7 linked regions of the Rattus norvegicus genome follow. The protein of the gene in region 2 interacts with the protein of the main gene of each other region in a biochemical or structural test. Links are inferred from orthologs where the notes say so. Each region holds a gene or a part of one and is shown on either strand. Other genes may lie near its edges.

The links.
Region 1: the proteins of Ube2i (region 2) and Mitf form a complex in vitro, tested with the Homo sapiens proteins (2 studies listed by BioGRID). The link is inferred for Rattus norvegicus from reciprocal best matches to the Homo sapiens genes UBE2I and MITF.
Region 3: of the proteins of Ube2i (region 2) and Nr5a2, one has a biochemical effect on the other in vitro, tested with the Homo sapiens proteins (2 studies listed by BioGRID). The link is inferred for Rattus norvegicus from reciprocal best matches to the Homo sapiens genes UBE2I and NR5A2.
Region 4: the proteins of Ube2i (region 2) and Crebbp form a complex in vitro, tested with the Homo sapiens proteins (2 studies listed by BioGRID, with this or other methods). The link is inferred for Rattus norvegicus from reciprocal best matches to the Homo sapiens genes UBE2I and CREBBP.
Region 5: of the proteins of Ube2i (region 2) and Cftr, one has a biochemical effect on the other in vitro, tested with the Homo sapiens proteins (2 studies listed by BioGRID). The link is inferred for Rattus norvegicus from reciprocal best matches to the Homo sapiens genes UBE2I and CFTR.
Region 6: of the proteins of Ube2i (region 2) and Trps1, one has a biochemical effect on the other in vitro, tested with the Homo sapiens proteins (2 studies listed by BioGRID). The link is inferred for Rattus norvegicus from reciprocal best matches to the Homo sapiens genes UBE2I and TRPS1.
Region 7: of the proteins of Ube2i (region 2) and Psme3, one has a biochemical effect on the other in vitro, tested with the Homo sapiens proteins (2 studies listed by BioGRID). The link is inferred for Rattus norvegicus from reciprocal best matches to the Homo sapiens genes UBE2I and PSME3.

Annotation. Positions count from the first base shown.
Region 1 is NC_086022.1:131,964,337-131,968,539, reverse strand, and holds the start of Mitf (microphthalmia-associated transcription factor), read right to left. Parts: upstream 2,801-4,203; 5' UTR 2,669-2,800; coding exon 2,565-2,668; intron 1-2,564. UniProt on the Homo sapiens protein: Transcription factor that acts as a master regulator of melanocyte survival and differentiation as well as melanosome biogenesis.
Region 2 is NC_086028.1:14,791,755-14,795,254, forward strand, and holds part of Ube2i (SUMO-conjugating enzyme UBC9), read right to left. Parts: intron 2,044-3,500; coding exon of another isoform or gene 2,033-2,043; coding exon 1,967-2,032; intron 1,840-1,966; coding exon 1,756-1,839; intron 926-1,755; coding exon 853-925; intron 1-852. UniProt on the Homo sapiens protein: Accepts the ubiquitin-like proteins SUMO1, SUMO2, SUMO3, SUMO4 and SUMO1P1/SUMO5 from the UBLE1A-UBLE1B E1 complex and catalyzes their covalent attachment to other proteins with the help of an E3 ligase such as RANBP2, CBX4 and ZNF451.
Region 3 is NC_086031.1:50,982,139-50,986,260, forward strand, and holds the start of Nr5a2 (nuclear receptor subfamily 5 group A member 2), read right to left. Parts: upstream 2,801-4,122; 5' UTR 2,711-2,800; coding exon 2,647-2,710; intron 1-2,646. UniProt on the Homo sapiens protein: Orphan nuclear receptor that binds DNA as a monomer to the 5'-TCAAGGCCA-3' sequence and controls expression of target genes: regulates key biological processes, such as early embryonic development, cholesterol and bile acid synthesis pathways, as well as liver and pancreas morphogenesis.
Region 4 is NC_086028.1:11,960,840-11,964,339, forward strand, and holds part of Crebbp (histone lysine acetyltransferase CREBBP), read left to right. Parts: intron 1-458; coding exon 459-620; intron 621-902; coding exon 903-1,184; intron 1,185-2,522; coding exon 2,523-3,500. UniProt on the Homo sapiens protein: Acetylates histones, giving a specific tag for transcriptional activation. Mediates acetylation of histone H3 at 'Lys-18' and 'Lys-27' (H3K18ac and H3K27ac, respectively).
Region 5 is NC_086022.1:47,526,421-47,530,428, forward strand, and holds the start of Cftr (cystic fibrosis transmembrane conductance regulator), read left to right. Parts: upstream 1-1,208; 5' UTR 1,209-1,235; coding exon of another isoform or gene 1,236-1,345; coding exon 1,346-1,398; intron 1,399-4,008. UniProt on the Homo sapiens protein: Epithelial ion channel that plays an important role in the regulation of epithelial ion and water transport and fluid homeostasis. Mediates the transport of chloride ions across the cell membrane.
Region 6 is NC_086025.1:83,811,236-83,814,735, forward strand, and holds the end of Trps1 (zinc finger transcription factor Trps1), read right to left. Parts: intron 1,863-3,500; coding exon 801-1,862; 3' UTR 262-800; downstream 1-261. UniProt on the Homo sapiens protein: Transcriptional repressor. Binds specifically to GATA sequences and represses expression of GATA-regulated genes at selected sites and stages in vertebrate development. Regulates chondrocyte proliferation and differentiation.
Region 7 is NC_086028.1:86,760,933-86,763,575, forward strand, and holds part of Psme3 (proteasome activator complex subunit 3), read left to right. Parts: intron 1-417; coding exon 418-466; intron 467-837; coding exon 838-950; intron 951-1,333; coding exon 1,334-1,402; intron 1,403-1,511; coding exon 1,512-1,579; intron 1,580-1,716; coding exon 1,717-1,771; intron 1,772-1,884; coding exon 1,885-1,971; intron 1,972-2,643. UniProt on the Homo sapiens protein: Subunit of the 11S REG-gamma (also called PA28-gamma) proteasome regulator, a doughnut-shaped homoheptamer which associates with the proteasome. 11S REG-gamma activates the trypsin-like catalytic subunit of the proteasome but inhibits the chymotrypsin-like and postglutamyl-preferring (PGPH) subunits.

The sequences.
Region 1 (4,203 bases), on a different chromosome or scaffold from region 2:
GCAAGCACACAAGTTACTGAGTCAGGTCTCAGCCTTAAAAAAGAAAAAAATCAGTTTAATAAGAACGCTGGGCGCTAAATTTAAAAGGTACTAAAACGGGCCAACGTTGAGAGAGCTAAGAGATTGCTGCAATAACTCAGGCAAAAACTGACACTGACTTGGTCAAAGTCAGAGCAGAGAAATAGGCAAGAAATGGGTGAATCCTGAAACAATCTATACCAGTGGTTCTCGACCTTCCTAATGTTGCAACCCTTTAATACAGTTCCTCATGTTCTGGTGACCCCCAACCATAAAATTACTTTTGTTGCTACTTCATAACTGTAATTTTGCTACTGCCTTGAGTCATAAATGTAAATATCTGATTATGCAGGATAGCTGATATTCGACCCCTGTGAAAGGGTCATACAACAGCCCCCACAGGGGTCACGACCCGCAGGTTGAGAATTGCTGATGGAGACAATACAGTGGGATGTCCTTGTTTTGAGAATCTGCAAGTTTTCATTACAACCTTTTTCCAACCAGGACTTTAAGGGTTCCCCAGTAGACTTCAATTGCAAGCAATGAGAAGGCCCTGAACTGCATTTAAAGTCACACAACAAATGTCAATGGTAATATCATTAGGACAACGGTCAAAAACAATATGTCACCCTCTCCAGAAAATTATTCACAGATTTTATTTAATGGGTCGATTTCAAAGAGCATACCTGGCACCTGCTGCTCGTACTAACGTGTGAAGCTGTTTATGCCCACATCCCCACATTTTTCCTTCTGTGCTAGCTAGCTAGCTCCAGAGGACACGTGCTCTTGTGTGCCATTCTTGCTGACTGTGAGAAAGAATAGAACCAAATCCTTCTACGTGAGTGTCAGGGCACTCGTTGGTTTTCCCCAAAGGTACTTTCCTCACTCCCTAAAACTCATTTAATGTAACAGCCACCATCCAAATGATTCGAACAGCACAGTTAATTCATTTCTTTCAGCAACACACACACACACACACACACACACACACACACACACACACACTCCCCCTCATTCTGGCCTTGTAAGCATTTGCTTATAGAAGCAAAAGCAGGGACTGCTCAGTAAAACACTGGTCCCTTCAGCCACATGCAGATAAAGCTCTAGTGAGCATAACCAACAATACGCCTTACACAGTGTCACTCAGAGCACCCAATACACCCCATCTACGGTCACATACAAATAGCCTTTATGAAAAGAAGCCACTAGTGAAAGGCTGAGTTTATGCATCTTGATGCCTAACACATTTCCTTCCACTCTGCCACAAGCATGTACAAAAAGCCTGCTCGAGCAAGAGCAAACTCTTCCCAGAGTTTGTTCCCATTACTGGATTCAAGGTCCTGCCCCAGCCCCGAAGGAAAGGAACCTGGCTCCACTCTCCAGCAGTTAAGACTCAGCTTCCTTCTCTCCCAAAGCAAGGATTCTGCCCCTCACTTCTGCCTCCCTGGCTCCTGAAAGGGAGGCCCTCCGCCCCTTTGCCAGGTAGGAAGTGGAGACCTCACTCATCCAGACCCTAGACAGTCGAGGTGATGATGCTTCCTGGGTTAGCCTTACTTCATCTCACAACCGAAAGGGTAGAAACAAAGTCACAGATTCCAGTGACTACCCCCTCCCTCCATAAACATTACAAATAAAAAGGGCTTCAAGGGTCCAGAGTGACCAAGGAGAGTTATAACCAATTCTGCCAGACAAGTAGCAATGAAGGGTGGTGTGAGGGATAACAATTCTGCAGAGGTACTGACTGTTAGGAGGCACCAGACTAGAGAGCATCTTCACTCCAAGCCCAAAGTTCTTGAAGCACCTGGAGAATTAAATGTGTGTAGCTGCCAAGGAGATCATTCCCAACCACCACAGGCCTCTAAGATAGCTTAATTGCTCCCTCCCTTCCTTTAGCATTTGCAAGGAAGAATGGGGAGACACGCCCACCCGCAACCTCCCCCCCCACCCCCCATCCACCCCACACACACTACCTCCCGCCCAGGGCGCGGGTGCTGTTCTGTGGGAGGTGGAAGGTAAAAGCCAGGTGAACTTCACTTAGAGGTCTCTCTAAGTAGTATGTCCCAGGGGGGCTAGACTACAAGGGAAGGCCAGTTCATTGCTACCCTGAAGCATCAGATCTCCATCCACCCCAGGCTCTCCCTCTCGGAGCCCATCAGCCTGCTTAGGATCTTCAGAAAAATTACTCCTGGTAGCACCAGATCACCGTCCCTGTCCGGTGCTCCTCCTACCCCACCTCGCGCCGGGTACCGCCCCAGCCCCCATCCAGCTCAGCAGCTGGCATCTGCAGTCAAGGGTCCCCAAGCCTGGATGACCCATCCCAAGAGACTCACGGTGTCCCAAGAGTGCCACTGTCAGATAACCTGGGATGCGAGCAAGTCATCTGTGAGCAGGACCCTAAATGCCAGGGGCTAGGTCGCCCTGTACCCCAAGCAAGGGCACGGGGTCCTTGTCCCAGAGCTATCCAGACTGGCTGTTCTCCTCCCAGGGTAGCAGGCGCCGGGCCCTTGGGCCTCCTGCCGCGCCTCCCTCCAGCTGTCACCACTCACCTGCTCTTCAGAGGTTGACTTTTGAGTTCGTAATAGGTTTTGGGTTCTTCGTGAAACTCCTCCCCGACTTCGAAATCCGCCACGATTCCCGATTCAGACTGCATGACTCCTGCTTGCCCGCCTTCCACTGCTTGGGACTTGGACCAGAACCCGGGCACCTGACAAAGATGGGGAGGGCCTCGGGTACCCCAAGACGCGCGCCCCGCTCAGTGCCCCACTCAGCCCGCTAGCCCGCTGCCCGCCCCGGCGCGGTGAGTTTACTCTCACACCAGGGCGGGAGGGGCCGGGCCCGGTGCGCTCTGGGATTTGTGGTTCTGCCCAGGCCCAGCATACCAGCTCTCCAGGATATCAGCTTCCGCAAAACTACAATTCCCAGAAGGCCAAACCGGGGAGAGGCAACGTGGTGTACACCGATAGTGCAAGTCCTGTTTGGATTCCTTGTCAATGTCAGCAGCTCCTCTCCGTGTCTCTCCCGTTTGCCTCAAGGATACAGACCTGGCTGTTTAATATTAATAAGAACGGACTCAGTCTGGGCTTCTACTGTCCCTCCTGGTTTAGACATCTGCGAAGACACTCGGAGCGTTCATTCAAAAAAATAAAACACTAAGGGGTTTTGACGCTAGAAAGTTTCGGTCAGAGTTAAAGCCCATTTTAAAAATAAAAGTGCTTTCTATTCGCCCCCGAGCTCTTCTGGGCTGCAGCGACACATCATTTTGTCCTCAATTGGAACAGAGTGTTGGAAACTTCACTTTTATAATGAAAGCGTTATTGGAGGAGTTGTTCTTGTGCCTTCCTTTTCTGGAACTCCTTCTGGGCTCCCAGAATACTCTTCATCCGTTGAAAGGCTTCTTTCCTTTTATCCAATTAGTCACCTCTAATCTAAAGCAGCACTTGAAAGATTCAGTTAATTTTAAAAGGCACCAAGTAACCAAACAGCTCACCACCGTCTGCTTTCAATTTCTCAGTTGGCTGGGAGTTCAAATGAGATTGTCCTAACATTGCATGCCGGTGCAGCTTCGAGGCACTCGGTTAGGTGATTATTAAATGGCTGCACTTTGGTTCATTTGTATGTCCAGACCTGTCTTCTGGTTAGTTCCAGCAGGACTCTTCATCGTGTATAAACAACAACGAATGCTTTGAGATATCGGTGTTAAGGGTGGCATTTTAAGATGGTAGAAATCCCCAGTTGTTCTAGGAAATCCTGTGCAATCTTAGACATGTCTGTTTCATTCCTAGAAACCTTAATTTCCTCATCTATGAAAGAAGAGATTAGGAAACCTGTTTGAGATGGTGTTGCAAGGTCAAAAGTAAGAAAAAAAATTACTTGCAATTTATATGCACTGGGGGCAGGCAAAATGGTTCAGCCAGTAAAATGTGTTTATTTGCAAACACAACCTGCAATTGATCCTCAGGACACTCGTGACGAAAGTAGGGAACTGTTAACTCCTGAAAGCCAACTTCTAACAGACAAATGCAGGTGCCCACACACATGCACATGCAGCAGACACACATAATACATGCATAGAACTTGTTAAAAGCTATTCAATGACTATTAATCTTGGCTTTCTTTCGGCTATCTTGAAGACATTCTTTGCAAATTCTCACCTCTTCTGTGTATTTTCACTTTCAGAAAATATAA
Region 2 (3,500 bases):
CAATTAAAAGAATGAATCACAGGGTTGGGGATTTGGCTCAGTGGTAGAGCGCTTGCCTAGCAAGCGCAAGGCCCTGGGTTCAGTCCCCAGCTCCGAAAAAAAAAAAAAGAAAAGAAAAAAAGAAAAAAGAAAAAAAAAAGAAAAAAGAAAGAAAGAAAGAATGAATGAATCACCAACAGTACGGCAAAAAGAACTCAGACAGACAAGAAAATCCCAAACAGCAGGTAAGATTCCATCCAGTGGTTCCCAATAAGCCATGTTTAAGCACTCCTGGGGGACCCTGCAGCAGGCAAATCTCTATTTACAAACCAGCTCAGACCTGGCCTTACCCTGGGCAGAATGGTGGTGGTGGGCACTGCACACCCAAGCAAGTTGTGCTGCACTGAGATCAGTTCAGCTTTCTCTTCTAACAACAGGTCTGAAGGCCACAAGCACAGCCTCTTACTGGGATGTGGGGCATCCAACAGAACACAACAGACGGGAATGAGTGAGATTCTTCGCTCTCCTTTAGTGCTTTGAATTGAACTCAGCACCTGATGTATGCTAACTAATCTACTGGGAACTTACAGACCCCTGTTCTCCTACTCCCCTGTGGCACCTGTGGGCACAAAAGCACCCAGGAGCTTAAGCCTGACACAACTCTCCCTCTGCCTCGTGTGGTACATCCCGATTGGTTGGGACTAGAGACCACTCTAATTATATGCGCCTCTACCCTGGCTTGTCATCCAAGCCGGCTCAGCAGTACTGACTTTATCCCAGCACTGACACCTGTCTGCTAGACCAAGCATCCATAGACATGGCTCCCAAAGGGTGGCACTGGGAAGTGGACTGCCGGCTCTCTGCACAACTTACATTTTGGTGGTGAGGACGGATAGTCATCTTTGAAAAGCATCCGTAGCTTGAACAAGCCTCCTTCCCACGGAGTCTGTGGGGAAGGAACCAGAGTTAGACCTGTGGCTCACTTGCCAAGGTGAGCCAAGAGAAGTTTCCTTAAACCTGGGTCCTTCGGGCCTGTTCTCTACACTATTACTGTCCCCCTAGGACCAAAGAAGACCCCCACCATGCCTATGAGGAGCTTGGCAGTTGCTGGAAAGCTTAGGATCCACAGTTCTTGGGTGTCTGAGACACCAAAAAGCTCAGCAAACAAAAGCTAAGCCCAGCAGCTCGTACCTGCACTATTCAAGCCAGCACCTCAGATCTATCAAGGTGGGGAGAGCACACCACTCGCCACCAGACGGTTTTCCTACTCTCAGCTCATGTGATGGAAGCACTACAGTGCCCATGCCCCAACGTGACTTGAGAGACAAGCACACCCTGGCACGTCAAAGACCCACCTCACACTCACAACAGAGCCTGTACAGATGAACCCAAACTACGGTTTTGCTCAGATACTAAGCTGAACCCGGAGGCCCAAGTTTGGACAATGTCTGAAGTTAAAGGAGACCCTCCCTCTCACATAGGCTGGAAAAGAGTAGACAACTGGATGCACTGAGGTCAATGTGTGTAAAGAAACACAGCCTGTGCTCTCTGTGGACACTTTACGACCTTCACCAGCTCCTCACCTCAAGGCTGGTCACCAATCCAATGATTTGCCAGGGTCCAAGCCTCCCTACCCCACAGGCCACTCCTTATCCTGGGGAGAGCTGTGACCTGTGGCTAGCTGTGGTCACAAATCCATGTACTCAGGTCCCTATAGTAGTTCAGCTCCCTTGAACCTCTTAAGTTAGTAGGTACAAAGCCAGTGGTCACCCTTACCCCCTTCTTTCCAGGGATAGCACACTCCCAGTTCATCAGGTTCATCGTGCCATCAGGGTTCTTTGTTGGGACAGCCACAAAGCCCTGAGAAAGAAGTCACAAAACAAACCAGCTCAAGACAACAAGCCTGGCTCTCACCCAGTGGCCACAGGCTGAGTATACCAAGTCAACGGAAAGCCCCTCCTGTGACCAGACACAGGCTGCTCCTTACAAAAGGGTGGTCCTTCCTCCAGGCTTTCCTCTCCTGCGCAAGTCGGCTGAGGGCAATCCCCGACATATTCAAAGTCCCTGGAACGGAATCCACAGAGGGAGGGTTAGGTAAAGCACACACACATCTTCTAAGCCACATCCCACCCCAGCCAGAGAGGGCTGTCACCAAGAAGCAGGTAAATGAGGTGGAGCCCAGCTGGTCAAGCTGCCCTTGGAGCAAGTGCGAGCATTGCACTTTTGACCAGTCCTCAGAACACCTCCAGGCAGGCAGGTAGAGCACCAGTGCTGTCTCTCTTGTGCTCTACAAACTCAACTGCTGGGAGGTACAGTGAGAATAGCCTGCAAAAAGGCTGTCCCCTCCCTGGCAGGCATTGAGCATCAGCGAGACTTAGCACCCACTCCACAGTCAAACTCTCAGGACAGGTAGGGGTTCGCAGGTACCTCACACACTCATCTGAGGCTAGGATGTGTCTTGCTGGTTCACCAAGCACCATATAAAACACCACAAAGGTAGAGTACTAGCCTGGGAGTTAGAGGAGGGTTCAGGAACAAGGGCCCTGAGACCCCGGCTTAGAATCAGGTCCAACAGGAGGACAATCACTACTCCTAAATGTACTAGTGAGAAAAGTCCGCACCATAGGGCAGAGCATGGCAAACTTCCATAGGCAGACTACCCCAAGAGGCCAGACTATCGGCCTGCAGCTTATCAGCTCACAGTTCAGAGATCTGCCCTATGACCCTATGGGAACGAAGGCAAGATCCAGGTCAGGCCAGCAGCCTCTGCCAGGGACCATCTTGGCACACTTGGACTCCATTCAGCATGGGTGAAGGAGCATCTTCACCTAGGACCGCAGCCTGTTGTTTTGACTGTGACTCCAACCTGGATACCACCTGCTTGGGTTTTTGGTTTTTTTTTTTTAAACCTCTATATCCTTTTTAATATTACTTAAAAAAAAATCACATGAAACAGTAATCAGAGACTCCCAAACCTACAGAGCACTGGGATTTTGGGGTGTGTGCATCACAGGGACACGACCCCTCATGAACAAGAATCTAGTAGGGCAATAGGTGTTTCATACCGAATTGCTTCTCAGAGGTTCCGTTTTTTCTTTTCTCTTTTTTTTCTGGAGCTGGGGACCGAACCCAGGGCCTTGCGCTTGCTAGGCAAGCGCTCTACCACTGAGCTAAATCCCCAATCCCAGAGGTTCCTTTTTTGACCCCAGCTTCAGGCTTCTATTGGTCTTGTGGGTAAAATCTCCCAGCAAGACTAGCACTAGCCTAGTCTTTTGTTTTCAGCTCAAAGTCTTCACTCTGAGGTGGAACCTTCAATTACCTCTGGACAAGAGCAAGATTCTTGCTAGAACACACTCCTGTTACCACCTCAGACAGGCCTCAAGCAGACATCCCTAGAGTTCCTGCTACTTAGACTTAGCTCAGGCTGCCCATTTTACCTGCAAAGCCATGACTACCCTAGGAATTACTGTGTGTTCTTGACCTAGCCAGGGCCTCTCAAGCTTACACAGCTGCCCGGCCAT
Region 3 (4,122 bases), on a different chromosome or scaffold from region 2:
CCCAGGAGGACCATGTCTCCCCCAACTCTTGAATTCCCCTGAAGCCAAATGACTCTCCCAGAGAAGTTTTCCTTCCTATTGGGTAAAGAGCAATGGAGGGTCAGACTGAGAAGTAGGAACATGTGGGTGGGGGTTGGGGCTGTGGAGCAAAAGGGTCAGTCTGACGCTTAAAGAGAGTTCATGACTGAATTCAGATCATCTTGGTCAATGGGCCAGGCAGAGGAGTCAAATCAAGGACTGAAGCCAGAATTTGTTGCACCAGGAGTCTTTTCTAGCTCCCTGGCTTCGTGGTTCAAGTCTCAAACACTTAAAACAGCTAAGCAGAGCTGGGTGTTGGAAACCTCAACTCCTCTCTTCAGGAGTCTGCCTGTAGCTTGCCATCTCCAAACTACCCAGGTTCTGAGCTCTGTAGCTACCCAAGGGTAGGCAGGGTGTCCACCTCAGTGGGCCTGCCCAGTGCAATGGAAAAAGACTCAGTGAAAGATCAGCTTTCCTTCAGGGATGGTCTCAGCCTCTTCAAGCCCCGGGTCTGAAGGTGTCTCACTGTCCTGGCTTTCAGACAGCTCAGCCCTGCCAAGGCTACCGGAGTGATCCTGGGTAAACAGATGGGAATCTGGGTGCCTATAGTTTCTTTCCAGTCACCGAGATGTGGGAACACTCTCCAAATTATCTAGAGGGCTATAAAACCAGGAGAAATATGCCTAAATACTCCTACATAGCTACTATGCTGGTGACAGGTTCTGCCCCCACGACCTCTTCTTCACCGCCCTCCTCTCTCCCTTCCTTTTTTTCCTACTCTCTCCCCCTATCCCTTTGGTAGAATTGAATGGTTATTTTGAGATCTAGCGATCTGAAGGGCTTAGGCAAGCCTGAGGTTTGGGTGTATAAGCTGGTCAAGGTCGGAAAGGCTCCTTCATACGGTTCTGGGGAGGTATGACCCCAGCAGCCCCTTGGAGGTCTATCAGTTCTAGTTCCATCTGGCCTCAGTACCAGGGGAGCCTTTGAAATACTACTGCGGTGCACTGGGTCAAAAGAGCTCGGCTCGACTGCGGTCTGCACTCCGCTAGCTACCTTGCCATCTTTAAATTCACCAGGGTGGGCTAGGGACCCAGCGAGAGCACCACGTGTGTGGTCCCAGGTCCCAGGGAGCCCTGCGCCTGTGTGAGCACTGAGCAAGCTTTTCTCCTGCATGCCGCCAGCCCGCTAGCCAGCACCCAGCGCCGTGTTGCAAAGTGAAATAAATGCTCAGCCTTTGGTGGATGCAAAGCTCACAGAGCCTCTAGTGTCCCTGCCCTCTGAAGAGCCAGGGCACTCGCTTCCCTGTGTTTTCTTTTTTGTAAGTACAGAACGTTTTTTTTTTTTTTTTTTTTGGTGAACATTTCCTCAATTGATACTTCAGGGCGTAGCTGGACCATAAAAAAAGCAATCAGTGCCTTAGGTGGAGTCAGCAGGCTGCCCCCAGAGAAAGGGACAGAGCTGGGGCCCTGATTATCCTGTTCTGAGACTGAACTGGCGATCACTGAAGACGCAAGGACCCCAGGAGAAGGGTCGACCCTGGCTCCTGTCCAGAGGAAGCAGAAGGGGCGCGTTGTAATCCTAAATTTACTAAATTTATGGTAAAAACCACCAAATTTATGGCTCTATATTGGTGTAAATGTATGTGTGTGGATGTCTATCCTTTAAAAAAGTGTGTCAGGCATGGTGGCTCACACCTATAGTTCCGGTATTATGGAGAGACAGGAGAGAGACCCCTTGTCTCTCAGGAAATCAAAAACAAAACCCAAACCTCACTCATCCCCCAAAATCAACAACAAGGAATCCCAAGATGCTTCATAGTGACTAGGTATGTAGCCCAGTGACTGAGTGCTTTCCTAGAATGTGCCCAAACATTCCACTTATGGGGAGGATATATGGTTATTTCTGTCTATAAAAGCAAGTCACAGTCACAGTCTGACTTTGTTTTTTCCTGAATGCCAAGAAACAACAAAAAAAAATTTTTTTTTCTATAGGCTTACAATGAATGAGACATCTTATGGTCCGATACCTTGAAATGTCACAGTGCTGGGAAGCTCCCTGTCAGTTTTTTGACCAATGGCTGATTGATGTTATTTGCTTGTTTCAAACTGTTCAAAATTTTACTTGGCATGGGTTGATTCAAAACGATCAGAAATTATTAAGGCTGACATAGATGATTAAAAAACTATATTTTCTGCTGGGCAGTAATGGCATGCACCTTTAATCCCAGCACTTGGGAGGCAGAGGCAGAGGCAGAGAGGCACAGAGGCAGAGAGGCAGAGAGGCGCAGAGGCAGAGGCAGAGGCAGGTGGATCTCTAAGGCCAGCCTGGTTTACAGAACGGAGTTCCAGGACAGCCAGAGCTACACACAAACCATGTCTCCAAAAACTAAGTTTTTGCCACATCGATCTAATACAATGACATCCCCAAACACCAGATACAGTAAATGATATTCATGTGTTGAACTATTCATTTGCTTCTTTCAATGTCAAGAAAAATAAATGTGTGATACTATGCGCGGGCTTATTGTGTGCTTTTAATAATCACCACAGGCAATGTACTGCATTAAAACACAAATCCACCAGGAGTAGCGCAAACAGCCAGATGCTAAGAGAGTGGCTTCCTACTTACCAATAGCTGGAAGTCCATGCTTAAGAAAGTCTTGAAAATCCCCAGTAATCGAACTAGCAGACATTCTTAGCGAAATTATTGGCAGTCCTTTGGCTTACTGCAGAAATCATTGAACGTGGGGAAGGTTGCAGCCTGTCATATTTTGTGACCTGGGGAAGGAAGCCTCAGACTACCGTAACCCTCATCTCCTTAGTGAAAGTTAAGAAAAAAAGGGGGAAAAAAACAGAATTCAGAAAGGCCCAAGCCATGCTCTCCTGGACTCTGTACTTTTTCCAGCATTCGTGACCTGCTGTAAACCATGGCTCCAGTTTCATGATGGTTTCTAATCACAAGAAAGGAAGCTTTCAATAGGCTTTGACTGGTCACATGACCCTGTGCCGGTTGATAAGAGGACCCTGTTATAAAGTGACAGCAAGAGAGATAAGAACTCTGGGCAGATAATGGCAAAGAAATGATTAACTCAGAAAAGGAGGGGTTCTTCTGCAGCCCAGAGAGTGGAAAGTTGTAAACCCAAGGGGTCAGGAGATCATACTTAGTGGATAAAAATCTCCAAACCACCTTAAGTCCACTGTAGCTTGTGACATGGCCCTTTGATGTCTTTGCTTCTGGCATGGAGAAGGACAGACACTGCTCTTCTGACCTCTGCAAATACATCTTAGATGATAACGGCGGCCGGCATTAATTCTTTAAGTGATCACTGTAGATATGATTGACACTTTGAAACTCTACAGGTAGCATTTGCAAGCTCACGGTCATTTCTTTACCATTTGACCAGTCACCTTCAAAAACAACCCCGTTTGTTTACTAGGATAGGCACTGGCTTGCTTTTGTATTGGTCATAGGGCTGGAACAGTAATTTCTTTACCTCCATAAAGTAAAACACCTTGAGGTAAAATTTGGGCCAAATGGTAAATATAGGCATTTTTCATATATCGTTCTGTATATATGAGTATGTGTGTATTTGTGGGGGGCTCACCTGTGTGTGTGTAGGGGGAGAGGGTACACTGGGTGCTTGTGCACAAGAAAACAACTTTGGGTGTTGTTTTGCTTTTTCTTTGTTTGTTTTCCCTGAAACAGAGTTTCTCTGTGTGGCCCTGGCGGTCCTGAAACTCTGTAGACCAGGCTGGGCTTGAATGCAAAGATCCCCCTGCCCCGGTCTCCAGAGTGCTGAGATTCAAGGGATTTTTAAAAGATCATAGGATGTCAAATCTTGTCAGTTATGTCTTTGCTGTTATTTCTTTGAACAACCAAACAACAGTGTGATATGCCAGAAATCTCCCTGTGTATATTTTAAAGGACACAGAAGTCTGCAAAGCAGCCTTTTTCTTAAAAATTATTTAGGACTCTGAAACATCACTGTTCATATAACAGATCTATTAGTGTTTACTATTCTAGAAGCTAAAATGGAGGAACTCAGCATAGCTAAATAAAGAGTGGAAGGGGTTGGGGATTTAGCTCAGTGGTAGAACGCTTGCC
Region 4 (3,500 bases), about 2.8 Mb from region 2:
GTCCCTTTTTGACCTCAGCTAAGTAGTAAAAGTAGTAGCAGTAGCTTGTAAGACAAGCTTACACATGTTCTACCCTAGTGGAGGTATTGAATAGGAAAGATCAGTTGGGTGTAGTTACTCTTTGGTGCTCCCATTTACACCATCCCATGTCTTCTGAAAATTCATATAAATGAGCAGGTTTTCCCAAAGCAAAGGACTGGGTACCGAACATGCAGGATGGAGCATAGCACTCCTGCCAGTGGAATCCTGGGAGTGGTAGAGAAACTCCTCTGTTGCTTAGATTGTGAATTAACATCCAGGAGAAGTAACCGGACATACAAGTGCCCTGGCCAGGCTGGGAGGATTTCATCCTTAGCCCTCTGGAGGTAGTAGCCTATGGCCCAGGTGCATATGAGGTCTGTGGAACCCCATAGCCGAGGAAATGGGTGTTAGTCTAATAGCTTTATATGTGGTTGCAGGGCAGTCAGGGTGACAGCAAGAATGCCAAGAAAAAGAACAACAAGAAGACCAACAAAAACAAAAGCAGCATTAGCCGCGCCAACAAGAAGAAGCCCAGCATGCCCAATGTTTCCAACGACCTGTCGCAGAAGCTGTATGCTACCATGGAGAAGCACAAGGAGGTAGTGCATAGGCTGGTGGGGGTTCTGAGGGTATTCAGTGCCCAGAGAAACAACAGGCACCTGCCTGCGAGGTTGAGCTTTTCTGTATAAGTCTGGGACAGGAGAAGGTGGAACAATACTTGTTAATATATTGTTTGGCTTGTTATCAGTTAAATTCCATCCCAGGAAACCAGAGCCTCAAGCAGTCCCTAGGTTTGGTTATCCTCCTGTTCCATAGGAAGATGTGGCCTTGCACTGGCACACACTGCTTCTCTGTGGGGATAATACAGCTCCTCCTTTCAGGTCTTCTTTGTGATCCACCTGCATGCTGGGCCTGTCATCAGCACTCAGCCCCCCATCGTGGACCCTGATCCCCTGCTTAGCTGTGACCTCATGGACGGGCGGGATGCCTTCCTCACCCTGGCCAGAGACAAGCACTGGGAGTTCTCTTCCTTACGCCGCTCCAAATGGTCCACTCTGTGCATGCTGGTGGAGCTGCACACACAGGGCCAGGACCGCTTTGTCTATACCTGCAACGAGTGCAAACACCATGTAGAAACACGCTGGCACTGCACTGTGTGTGAGGTAAGCCCTTCCACCTCTCTCCTGGCCTTCCTCCATATGCAACATTGTTCCCTGCAGCATCGGGAATGGATGCAGGTGTTGGCCTCTGTGACCTACATTGTCTGTGCTAACCCTCCCAGGGTGAGGAGTGGCACCCTTGTAATCCCTTTCTTAATCTCTGCTCTTGTCCACCACAGCTACAGGCTATATGCCGAGGCAGCCTGACTGGAAAGAGGCTATGCAAAACTTTAGCTCTACAGGGATTCTGGTGTATTTATCTCTTTCTAGCTTTGCTAAGTGATTAAGGATGCCTTTCACCCTGCTGACAGGTTGGCACTTTTGATTAGGTCCAATGGCAGGATCGCAGAATGTGGTTAGAAGACTTGATGTAAGCCACTGGCAGTTTCACTGCCTCCTGCCCTGTGGGTAGCTTGACTTCACCCTTGTAGAGCTTGTCTTGGACAGGTCAAAGGTTGCTTAGCCCTTCTTCTTTGCTTACCTTTTCAGTTCCTGCCCCCTGTTGTCATCGGCCATATCCCCTCTTATCCTTCTCTATTGTCCGTTTTATAGACAGATAGACTGGCAGGCAGGCAGACAGACAGACACGCACACGCACACGCACAAACACACCCACACCCCTACCCTCTCAATCCTCTTTCTGCTTTACTGATTTTAGGATTTTGTATGTGCTTTCTGTGAGCACAATTTCTAGGCCCAGCCATAGGACGTCATCTTCAAATGTGTATTCTGTGGGTGGGTGTGAGTGTGTTATTTGTAAGTAAACATATTTGTGTATATGAATACAGAGACCAGTGGAGAATTACTCTATAGCTCTTTACCTACCTCATTTCCTTAAGAAAAGAAATGCCACTGAATCTTGAGCTAGGCTGATTGACTGACCAGCGATCCCAGCAGTCCTCTTCGTTCCTCCTTGTCTTGTGCTGCCATTAAAGCTCACAGCCATACCCAGATTTTTGTTTGAATGCTGAGGATTGAGACTCAGGTCCTCTTCCCCACTGAACTATCTCCTAAGCTCCTATCCTTTGGATTTAATGCTTCCTTTTTAGTTTCTACGTTGAAGTATCTCTCAGCCACCAGGGCTTCTGTTGTTGAGGAAGGATCATTTTGATGATGCCTCTCTCCGAGGGATAGTGTCTCACAGTCCACTAACAGTGCTTGGGGGAAATGACCCTAGTGTTCTTAATCCTTGCTGTTAAGTCTAAAGCACATGAAATAAAGAAGGAAGGTAATCGTTAATAACTGGATCAATCATTAATTGGTCCTACAATATGCCCCATGCCTAAGGGTGTCTGCTCGTGCTGTGCCTGTGCTAATGCGGTTTGTTCCTCTTGTCCACAGGACTATGACCTTTGTATCAATTGCTACAACACAAAGAGCCACACCCATAAGATGGTGAAGTGGGGGCTAGGCCTAGATGATGAGGGCAGCAGTCAGGGTGAGCCACAGTCCAAGAGCCCCCAGGAATCCCGGCGTCTCAGCATCCAACGCTGCATCCAGTCCCTGGTGCATGCCTGCCAGTGTCGCAATGCCAACTGCTCGCTGCCATCTTGCCAGAAGATGAAGCGAGTCGTGCAGCACACCAAGGGCTGCAAGCGCAAGACTAATGGAGGCTGCCCAGTGTGTAAGCAGCTCATTGCTCTTTGCTGCTACCACGCCAAACACTGCCAAGAAAATAAATGCCCTGTGCCCTTCTGCCTCAACATCAAACACAAGCTCCGCCAGCAGCAGATCCAGCATCGCCTGCAGCAGGCTCAGCTCATGCGCCGGCGAATGGCAACCATGAACACCCGCAATGTGCCTCAGCAGAGTTTGCCTTCTCCTACCTCAGCACCACCCGGGACTCCTACACAGCAGCCCAGCACACCCCAAACACCACAGCCCCCAGCCCAGCCTCAGCCTTCACCTGTAAACATGTCACCAGCTGGCTTCCCCAGTGTAGCCCGGACTCAGCCCCCCACAATAGTGTCTGCTGGGAAGCCTACCAACCAGGTGCCAGCTCCCCCACCCCCTGCCCAGCCCCCACCTGCAGCAGTGGAAGCAGCCAGGCAAATTGAACGTGAGGCCCAGCAGCAGCAGCACCTGTACCGAGCAAACATCAACAATGGCATGCCCCCAGGGCGTGCAGGTATGGGGACCCCAGGAAGCCAGATGGCTCCTGTGGGCCTGAATGTGCCCCGTCCCAACCAAGTCAGTGGGCCTGTCATGTCTAGCATGCCACCTGGGCAGTGGCAGCAGGCACCCATCCCTCAGCAGCAGCCGATGCCAGGCATGCCCAGGCCTGTAATGTCCATGCAGGCCCAGGCAGCGGTGGCTGGG
Region 5 (4,008 bases), on a different chromosome or scaffold from region 2:
ACTCAGAGTCCCTTTCAGTGTCTTAGTCAAGATATTTTGCTTAACAAAACTAGGGGGAAATGAGAGGAGGGTCATTTAGTTTAGACTCCTCTTGTCATTCTCTAGCACACACATAAAAGCCTTCTGAAGGTGAAATACCACACCACACTGAGCAGGTCCTGAGTGAGAAGTGGTAAAGGAGTAGCTCCCTTTGTCCTTGAGGACTTTGATATGTCAAGTTATGACATATCAGGGCATTGTGACATATATGTATGATACACATGTAGCTCATACGGGAAAGTAGTGGCTTCCCTTTCCTTGGTAGGACTTTTGCTGTAATTGTGACATATCAGGGAATTGTGACATATGTGCGTGTCACCTCATAGGTGTTTGTGCCACTTTGTCTACTCTGGAGCCTTCAGTCAACAGAGCTTAGGTCTCGTCCAGCTCTTGAAGGGCTTACTGAGGTGGAACTTTGCAGCTTCTTGAGTGCTCTTTGATACCAAAGAGCCACATTTTCCTCTCCTTTCCAAAATGGATCTGGAAAAGTTAACTGGAGGAGGAGGGGGAAGAAAGGAGGAAGAAAGAGAAGAAAAAGGAGAGCAAAGTGAAGGGAAAGATTCAGTTGGAGAAGGAAGAGAAAGAGAGGAAGGGGGAGAAAGAGAGGAGGGAGGAGAAAGAGAGGAAGGCAGGGGAGCAGTGGGAAGAGAAGAGGGAGGAAGAGGACAAAGAGATCAAGGAGGACAAAGAGAAGGAGAGAGAGAAAGAGATAGAGAAAAAAGTGAAGGAGGAGAAAGAGGAGGAGAGGGGAAGGAGGAGAAGGAGGGAGAGGAGAGAGAGGGACAAGGAGAAGGAAGAGAAAGGTTCCGGGAAGCTAAGGGAATCAGTGACTGGTCTTTATTCCTAAGTAAGAAGGATTCTAAGTCCCGCAGATTGGCCATGGTTTACCCGGGCCCGCTGTCTGAGCCACTGCTGGGGCCACCATGTGAAGGTAGGCACGAGGGGGGCGCTGGAGGGCGGGCGCGGATAATAAAGGCCAAGGTAAAGGAGGCGCGGGCCAGGAGGCGCGGGCGCGCTGGAGGAAGGAGCGCTGGCCCGGGGCGGACGCGGGGCGTGGAGAGCAGTGACTGTGAGGCTGGGCTAGGCAGTGCTGACTTTAACCTGGGCTGCGGAGGCGGGGGAAGAAGGCTAAGGAAGGGGAGGTGTGTGGGACCGGAGTGGGTGGGGGGAATTGGAAGCAAATGACATCACCTCAGGACTGAGTAAAAGGGAAGAGCCAAAAGCATTGAACGGGTCCTGGATATCCAGAAGTCGAGTCCAACCTGAACCTGTCCGGACACAGACCTTAGTGCACCACGGAGACATCATGCAGAAGTCGCCTCTGGAGAAAGCCAGCTTTATCTCCAAACTCTTCTTCAGGTGAGAGGGTGCCCAGAGGATCTTTCAGGGACACGTGTGCCCATGCCAGAGAAGGGAATAAATACGGGCAGACTTTGGGAAAACAGGAAGAGATTTTTGTTGAGTTTTGTTTTGCTTTAAAGGTGTGTTGTCATTCATTGCTTTAAAGGAACTATGTATTTTGTAGAATGAAATAAAACTGATGGAACAGAGAACAAATATATATTTGCACCTGGAATCAGACTTGCAACAGCCAAATATGCAACAGAGCAATAGATTTTTTTAAATTTCCTGAAAACAGTTATACATCATAAATGTACTTAATAAAACATTAAGATTGGTCCATTGTTTTCTCCCAGAAAAGTTTGTCTGCAGGTGGCGCGCCTGTATATAATAGGTGTTTGGAAAACGTTTATTGACTCAGGTTTTTAAAAATCAAGGAATTATACTTACTTTTGCTGTTATAATATTGAGTAAGACTAACATGCTTAGTACAGTTACAGTATTCTTCTTTAAGAATGAGCAAGTCAGTTAAAATACCTAACTTTAGAAAGAAATACTGTAAGCAATGCATTTGAAAATTCAGTTACTCTGGGGATATGAGACTAGGGTTCTAGCCACTGACGCTATATTCAATTGATACTTAGGAGATTGTTCTCTTATCCTACCAAAAAAAATTAGAATCGAAGTTGGAAGACCTAGGCAAGTATTAAGCACTTTGTATATGAGGTACTCTGTGGAGCTTCTTGTACTCAGTCATGTAGTGTGAATGAATGAAGAGAACAGCTCTCTCATGGGTCCTTAGCTGGCTCAACCCCACCCCCAGTGAATCAGCACACTAAAGTATCATAAATGTGGAATATGTTCTAAATGTGCCCTGTGGTGTGGGTACGAGGCAAGGCTCAGCCTTCAGTCCTTTTTCTGCAGGTCTAGAGCTCAGGACTGAGGGGAGGCAAGTGCTTCTACAGGAGAGCTCCTCCCAGTGGATGGGAGAGAAGGTCCCTCTTTACTCTTTAGAGTGGATATTTGTAGTGCCTTTTCTTACTTCGTCTATAAATTTAGCTTATCAGCCTGGATCTAATTTCTTACTACTTACAATATCAGATTGTCAATTGACATAAACTTTAGACTTTCACCAGAGCTTATTGAGGAACTTAAATGTCAATCTGCCTGAAAAGGCAAGTTTTCTGAAGAATGAATATCTCTTGTGTGTTTCCCCCACTAAGTATTAAGAAACTTCAAAATTTTTCACTTATCAAAGTGTTTCAAAAATTTCCCGTTTTTATAATCCACCTAATACATTTTAGTGTGCTTTACAAATGTTCTTAGGCAGATTTGGAAAGGAAATGTATTATAATGGCTGTGAAATTTGTTAAGAACATACTCATTTCTGTTCTCCAAATGATTTCATAATCAGTTGCTTTAAGAATAGGTGTGTTTTTAAGAGTTTAGTTCCTCCTATTTATAGGAGCTGACATTTAGCTAAGTACCAGTCAGTGATTATAAACTTCCTTCTGGACTATACTTTTCAAAGGGTGAAAACCTTTTCTCCACTGGATTAGGCAGTGTGCTTAGTGTCCAGGGCAGTGGGCTCTGGAAACTTTGCATTTTCATATAGCTTTAAGAAAAAGATCATGCCTGTTGTGTATCTGTTAGCATATGCATGTGTGCGTACACACATGAACATGCACATGCACATGCACATGCTTGCTTTTATGCCCACAGAGTGCAGTATAAGATATCCTCAGAAGAGCCATCATCTCCTTTGAGACATGTCTCTCATTGGCCTGAATTTCACCAGTTGTTAGACAAACTTGTCAGCGAACCCAAGGAGTGTTACTGTCTTTGCCTTGGCAGCAATGAGATTGTAATCATGTGTCGTCACCTTGCCCACCTTCTCATATGTGTGCTTGGGATTGAACTCAGCTTTTCATACTTGGGAAGCATGTTACTTTACTGACTGAGCTATAAACAGTTTCAACAAGTTAGGTAGCAACATTTCCATTCTCTTTCTGATCCATGCACAGACACTATCTTACGTTTGCTAAGACTTAGGTTATCCAAATCCAAAGGCCACTTTTGATATACTGAGGATATGGTATTTAGAAAACTCAGGATAGCTGTCCGTTTAGTTGATGGATGCCATCCAGTGGCTACAGCTCCAGAGTTCCATGCTATCATTTGGCTTTTCTTTGATAGAATTGGAAGAATCCACATCTAGGATGGAGACCCTCTGTTTCGACAGTGGGCAAGCACTGCCCAATGTTAGCTCTGTACCAGTCCCTTAGGACTCCTGTTTATTTTTCACTGATCATGTTTGAATATTACAAAGCTTAGAATTTTCAACTTGGGATTTATGTTAGGTTTTTGTTAATTTTGTTTAGTTTAATGCACAGTTCTAAGAGTACCACTTGTACACAACATGATGAAATTGTCATTTTGTGTATGTAGTATATATGGGTGTGTATGTGTAATAAATATCCCTATACAGTGAAATTTATTTTAGTTGATATCACAATTATTAAAATCTCTTCCAAGGTTTTATAGCACGTTAATACACAATATACTTTTAATAGTCAATCCATTGCTCCTCAGAGCAGAGGAAGCTATAATTATTTTAAAATAACTTCA
Region 6 (3,500 bases), on a different chromosome or scaffold from region 2:
AGAAATATCTGGCAAAAAAAATTACTACCTAAAGCACTAAGGACATTGTTTTAAGAGTGGATAGATTTGAAACAAAATGGATCTAAACTGTAAAACAAATGACTACCAAGTACTGGAGCATCTAAAGGACGAAAGTATCAAGGAGGGTGTGCATGTGTGTGTACAGGCAGGGCTGGCCAAAAAGCATTGTGCCACCAACTGTCACGATTCTTACTGCTCGCTCAACAAGCCTAACCAGTTCACATTTTGAGGTCTAAATCTGAAACATGGTCAATGAGAGGAGCCTACTTTGAGAGGTGCCATTTTTTCTTCCATTGCCCTGGAGATTTTTTTTTCTCCTCCTTTGGCTGAGATCTCATGATATTTTAAGTTGTAGGCAACCTAATCTGAATGGATGGGCCAATAGCCAGCCTAATACTGCTGTCACATGATAGTATGTAAACTCCTTCAAACAATAGAGAGCATTTGTATCTTTACAAACAAATGGCTATAATTTGGTTGGGCCTCTGTACAGAGATTCAGCAGTACACATTAGGTAAGATCATTTTCACTCTAGTTCTCCTTTTTTTTTTTTAAAAAATTATCTATCAATTCCATTCTTTCTCACTGACCATATGTTTCATTTTAAAATCTTGGTAACCTACTCATCAAAAGAAAGAAATTAAGAAAAAGGGAATTTCATGTTGGGTAAGGCAGGCTCTATGAATTATTTTTTTAATAAGTCTTCATAAGACATTACAAGCTATTGAATTCCCATCAAGAAAACCTATTTCTATTTAATTGTGCTAAGTGCTAAGGTTTTACTCTTTAGGTTTTCCATTTTTTTCTGCTTGTGCATTGTTCCTATGCAGGCCCCTCTGGATATGTGTTGTGAAGTCATATTTGTCCGTGCAAAGATGCTGGCATATGCTGCACTGGAAAGGTCCACTGTCACCATGGCAACTCATATGCAAAGCATACATCACTTCATCCAGGAAAACAATGCCACAGTGCACACATTTCGTTGAAAGTTCATCTTGAGTGCTTCTGTCAACTTTCTCCGTCTTAACTACATTCAAGGGACCTTCATTTTTTACGTTTGATGGTGCCTTGCTTTTCTCCTTGGCGGCACCATTTGCAGTTGGCCCAGGTCTGGAATGCTTGATCGCCAAATCTAGAGGAATGTCATTGTCTGATCCAACAGCTGAGAAATGAGGAGGCAGATTGAAGGTGGGATAAGGCACATAGTTTTGGCAAGGATTTGGTAAGCCAGGCACATGACTCAAGTAGTGCGGATTCCCAGGAACAGAGAGCTTATATTTACTCCAGAACCGTAGCCAATCAGCTTCACTCTGGAAGTCATTATGTACAAAAGGAACTCCAAAAAGTGGGTATTGGTACTTTTCGATGGGGCTGCCTGGTGGAGAATAGTTGGGGTGTTTTGCAGGCCTCATGTACTTTTCTATGGGGCTGCCTCTTTCAGAACTTCCTTTCCCATCAGATACGGATGAACTGTTTCCTGGATCTCCAGTACTTTCCTGAGGACTTTTTATCTGAATGTGCAAAGGCTGCATCCTTTTGTGAATATCCAGAGTTTGGCTGACCAGGACCGGCTGTTGAGCAGAATGGCTTTTAGTCAATGAACCCTGGGCTTCGTATTTACTCAGGCTCGGAAGTGGAATTTCTCTCTGATGACTTTCACTTAAGTGATCTTCTGACCTCCTCTCTAAGGGGCTTCCATTGACCTGCTCCTCCCCACTTCCCCTCTGCTGTTTGTTGAGTTGCTCAGCCTGAAGTGCCTCTGGGTTAAGGCGCTTTCTTGTCCGTCTTCTAATAATCTGCTCGCCGTTGTTTTGTTTAATGATGTTTAAAGGCCTGGGAGTCTGCAGGGAACACACACAATACATAAAAGAGAAACGTTAAAAAATACATTAAATGCATTGAAAATTCCTCACAAATATCAACCACACTGAAATTCAGAGCAGGGATAGCCTTTATGCTACTAATCTCTTCTTTCCTCACTAGGCAAGATCAGAGGAAGTAACCAAAACGTAGTGTCTTAAGCTAAAAATAAATAATATCCATCTTGGAAGGGGTGTGGCCGAGGAACAGAAAAGTTTAATTTTCTTGAAAGCAGTGTTTTCAGACTTAAGGAGATTTGGGGACTGTCACCACTAATGAAAAGTACGAGGAAACCATTTGAAGAAATGATTTTTCTAAAATACATCAGCTCTGGAGTTAGGTAAAGATACTTCGACACAGTCATTTGGTGGATAAGTATTGGCAGTAGGAAAAACCAAAACAAAGAAAAACTATGCATTGCTCTATCCTAAGAACCAAACCGTGTTTCTCCCTTGGATCAGTTCATGTATCAAAGACTTAGCATGATGGTGTCTACAGCTGTCTTCTCAAGGGGAAGTTAAGGAACTAAGGAAGAGTCCTCACCAGACTTTTCCAGGCTCGTACTTCCATCCCCCATCAACGACCGTGAGAAAACCAGTTTTTGTTGCTATAAGTCACTCAGTCAGCCTAAAGTGTCTTGCCATGATGCTTTAAGCTGACTACCACATACATATTTGTAAAGATTTGCAAAGGTAAATATATGATATTTGTATCAGAGACTAAGTCAGGACTGTGAGAAAAAAATTTCAGGAAATCATCACAGGAAGTTTTTGGCCTTAATTCTACTCTTCTGTTTCAATGATCTCTGCATATTCCTTACTTGATCACAGGAAAAACAGTTGAAAAGATAAATTCCTTCTCATGTTTGGTTCAGATACCTGAACTCCCATCCCAGTCTACTTAAAATGAATGCGGGCTTCCATTCAGCTCAAGAACTGCATACAGCGTAGACATTTCATGATCGGTACCTAGGTGCATGTTGAATAGTTATTTATATTATATGACTAAAACTTGGAGGTAAGAGTATAAGAACTCTGCTTGCAGAAGAGCTCTAATTTTCATTTGTCAAGTGAAATAAGTAGGTATAATAAATTAATGTATATTTATGGACTCCATTTCCTGGGAATGTTCAGGTGGTCTGATTTTTTCCAAAATATTATTGATAATTTCTGCACATATAAACATCTAGTTTGTGAATAATTCATGAAAGATTCAGACTTCAGTACGAAAGGTCGTACTTTAGATATTAAAGCAACACAAGTAAGACTTTTGGGAGAATATTTCTATGGCCACTAGATATATGGGTAGGAATAAAAATCGCACACTTGATACTGGAGACGAAGTCAGTGGACTCAGAATGAAAATCTTAGTTGGGTTGCATAGGCCACGTACACTCATGTTGCATAGTAAAAAATGCTCAGTATTCAGTCTCCATACCACAAAGAAGCCTGGAATTTAATTAATCCCTACAATTTTATAATTGTGTAGTTTTTTGGGTGCACACAATTTTTATGTTTTTTCATTTATGGTAAAATAAAAAAAAAAGCCTGAAATCTGAGACCATCTTGCCTCTGAAGAGATGAATATTAAAATAATTTTGAAAAAAAGTTCGGTGTATT
Region 7 (2,643 bases), about 72 Mb from region 2:
AGCCAACCTACTGACCACTTCGGCTGCTTTTTAAATGTGTTCTATTAGTGGTAACTTTGGCCTTCCCAACCAGAATGTAAGTTTCTTTTTGACGAGAACCCCTTTTAAAAACTTTATGTGTGTGTGCATTGAAATTCATATGATAGAGGGGTGGGGATTTAGCTCAGTGGTAGAGTGCTTGCCTAGCAAGCGCAAGGCCCTGGGTTCGGTCCCCAGCTCCAGAAACAACAACAACAACAACAACAAAAAAAGAAATTCATATATAATCTCTGGGGTCCAGAAAGGAATTACACTTCCTTGTACAGTATCTTGTAATGGGCATGCTTGTTGAATGCAAAAATTAAACTTGTTTGTATAGTGTCTGTGATGGGCATGTGTGTTGAATCCACACTAATTCTTGCTTCTTTATACCTTTAGCCCACTTACAAGAAGCGCAGGTTGGATGAATGTGAAGAGGCCTTCCAAGGTAAGAGCTGCTATCTAATCAGCACACTTCACCTGCTGACTAGCCGCCCTGAGATGTAGGATGGATCTGGACTTCAGGAACTGAGGTCTCATTTAATTTCCAAGGTTAACAATCAGCAAATCCTCCTGGCTCAGTCATTTAGTCTTCTGGAACGCCAAGAGGGTCTGGTTGTGTGGATACCAGGGAGGATGCTTAGAGGCCCATATTCCGTGCCTTAGTTTCCCCGTAGGAGTAATTGCTACCTGATCCATCAGGGGTGGTGTAGTCACTTAGAAGAGATTATTACATCCAGCTTAAGGGAAGAAGGAAAAGGTGGAGGCTGCTCTTACTTTTTCACTGCAGTGAACATGTGTCCTTGACATATCTTCCAGGAACCAAGGTGTTTGTGATGCCCAACGGGATGTTGAAAAGCAACCAGCAGCTTGTGGACATTATTGAGAAAGTAAAACCTGAGATTCGGCTGCTGATCGAGAAATGTAACACGGTGAGGCAGGGGTTCGTGCCCAACGAGCGCCTCTGGAACTGTGGAATGATGGGAGGGGTTGGCAGGCTAAGGCCTTTGATTCCTTTGCCCTGGCATCAGTCCCCACCAGCAAGAATCATGTACTTCGGGGGCCGGAGAGATGGCTCAGTGGTTAAGAGCATCGACTACTCTTCTAGAGGTCCTGAGTTCCCAGCAATGACATGGTGGCTCACAATCATCTATAATGAGATCTGATGCCCTCTTCTGGTGTGTGTGAAAACAGCTACCGTGTACTTATATATAATAAGTAAATACATCCTTTCTAAAAAAGAATCATGTACTTCCAAGCCTAAGTAGGAAGGACCAAGGTCCTTCTACAAGTATTTTGTCTTCTCATGCTCTAGGTCAAAATGTGGGTTCAGCTCTTGATTCCCAGGATAGAAGATGGGAACAACTTCGGGGTGTCGATTCAGGTAGTGTGCCCGCGTTGCAAACTCCGCTCCTTCCCTGCTTGCTTTCCCTTGCTCTGTGGTGCTGCAGTAGATGGTGGGGAAGTAACCTGACTCACCTGTTTATCCCCAGGAGGAAACAGTTGCAGAGCTAAGAACTGTCGAGAGTGAAGCTGCGTCTTATCTGGACCAGATTTCTAGGTAAGGTGGTTTGCGCTGGACCTAGGAACAGGGGATGGTGAAGTGGGAGGCGTGCTCAGGGTCCAGGCCCAGGAATGTGGTTGGTGAAGTGGGAGGCGTGCTCAGGGCTCCCTTCAGCTGCTTTTTTTTCCTTCCAGATATTATATTACAAGAGCCAAATTGGTTTCTAAAATAGCTAAATACCCCCATGTGGTAAGTAGGGTTTTGTGGTCTGAGGTGGGGTGGCAAGATAGAGAAGAGAGTAGGACTGAGCAGCCTGTGGGCATTTGGGCCTTGGAAGACGAGCCTCCCTACTCCCCATGCAGGAGGACTATCGCCGCACTGTCACAGAGATCGATGAGAAAGAGTACATCAGCCTCCGCCTCATCATCTCAGAGCTGAGGAATCAGTATGTGAGTACATCAGTCTCTGCCCAGAGTTGTCCTGCTTCTCATAGGCCTGTGGTGATTTCTATAAATCTGGGGTCGGAATGAAAGGAGTCCAGAGATGGTGTCTGTCTATGGTGCCATCTTAGGAGGTTGAGCAGTAGGACCCAAAATTTGAGGCTGGCCCAGGGTACAGAAATAGCTGTTTATCAGCTGGGAGTAGAGAGCATGAACCTCTGAGGGAGTCGAGTTGGGTGTGTGTGTACTAGCTAGGTGGAGGTGCTACACCACACATGGATGCTTAAGCACAGGCCTTGGTGCCAGAGGTGGCTTTACAACCAAGTTCTCCTGCGGGATTCATCTTGTTTGTCCTCAGATAAGGTCTCACTACGTATCCCTGGTTGTCCTGCAGCTCACTGTTGGTGACAGACTTTAAAGTTCCACTGACTTGGGGTTGGGGATTTAGCTCAGTGGTAGAGCGCTTGCCTAGCAAGTGCAAGGCCCTGGGTTCGGTCCCCAGCTGGGGGGGGGGGGGGGGGAGTTCCACTGACTCTGTCTCTCAGTCTCTCAAGTGATGGGATAAAAGACATCTTAATCTGCTTGATTTTTTGTTTTTGTCTGTGTGTCAGTGTATGCACATTTGAGAGTGCAGGCACCTGTGGTCAGCAGAAGAGGACATCAGATTCCCTAGAGCTGGAG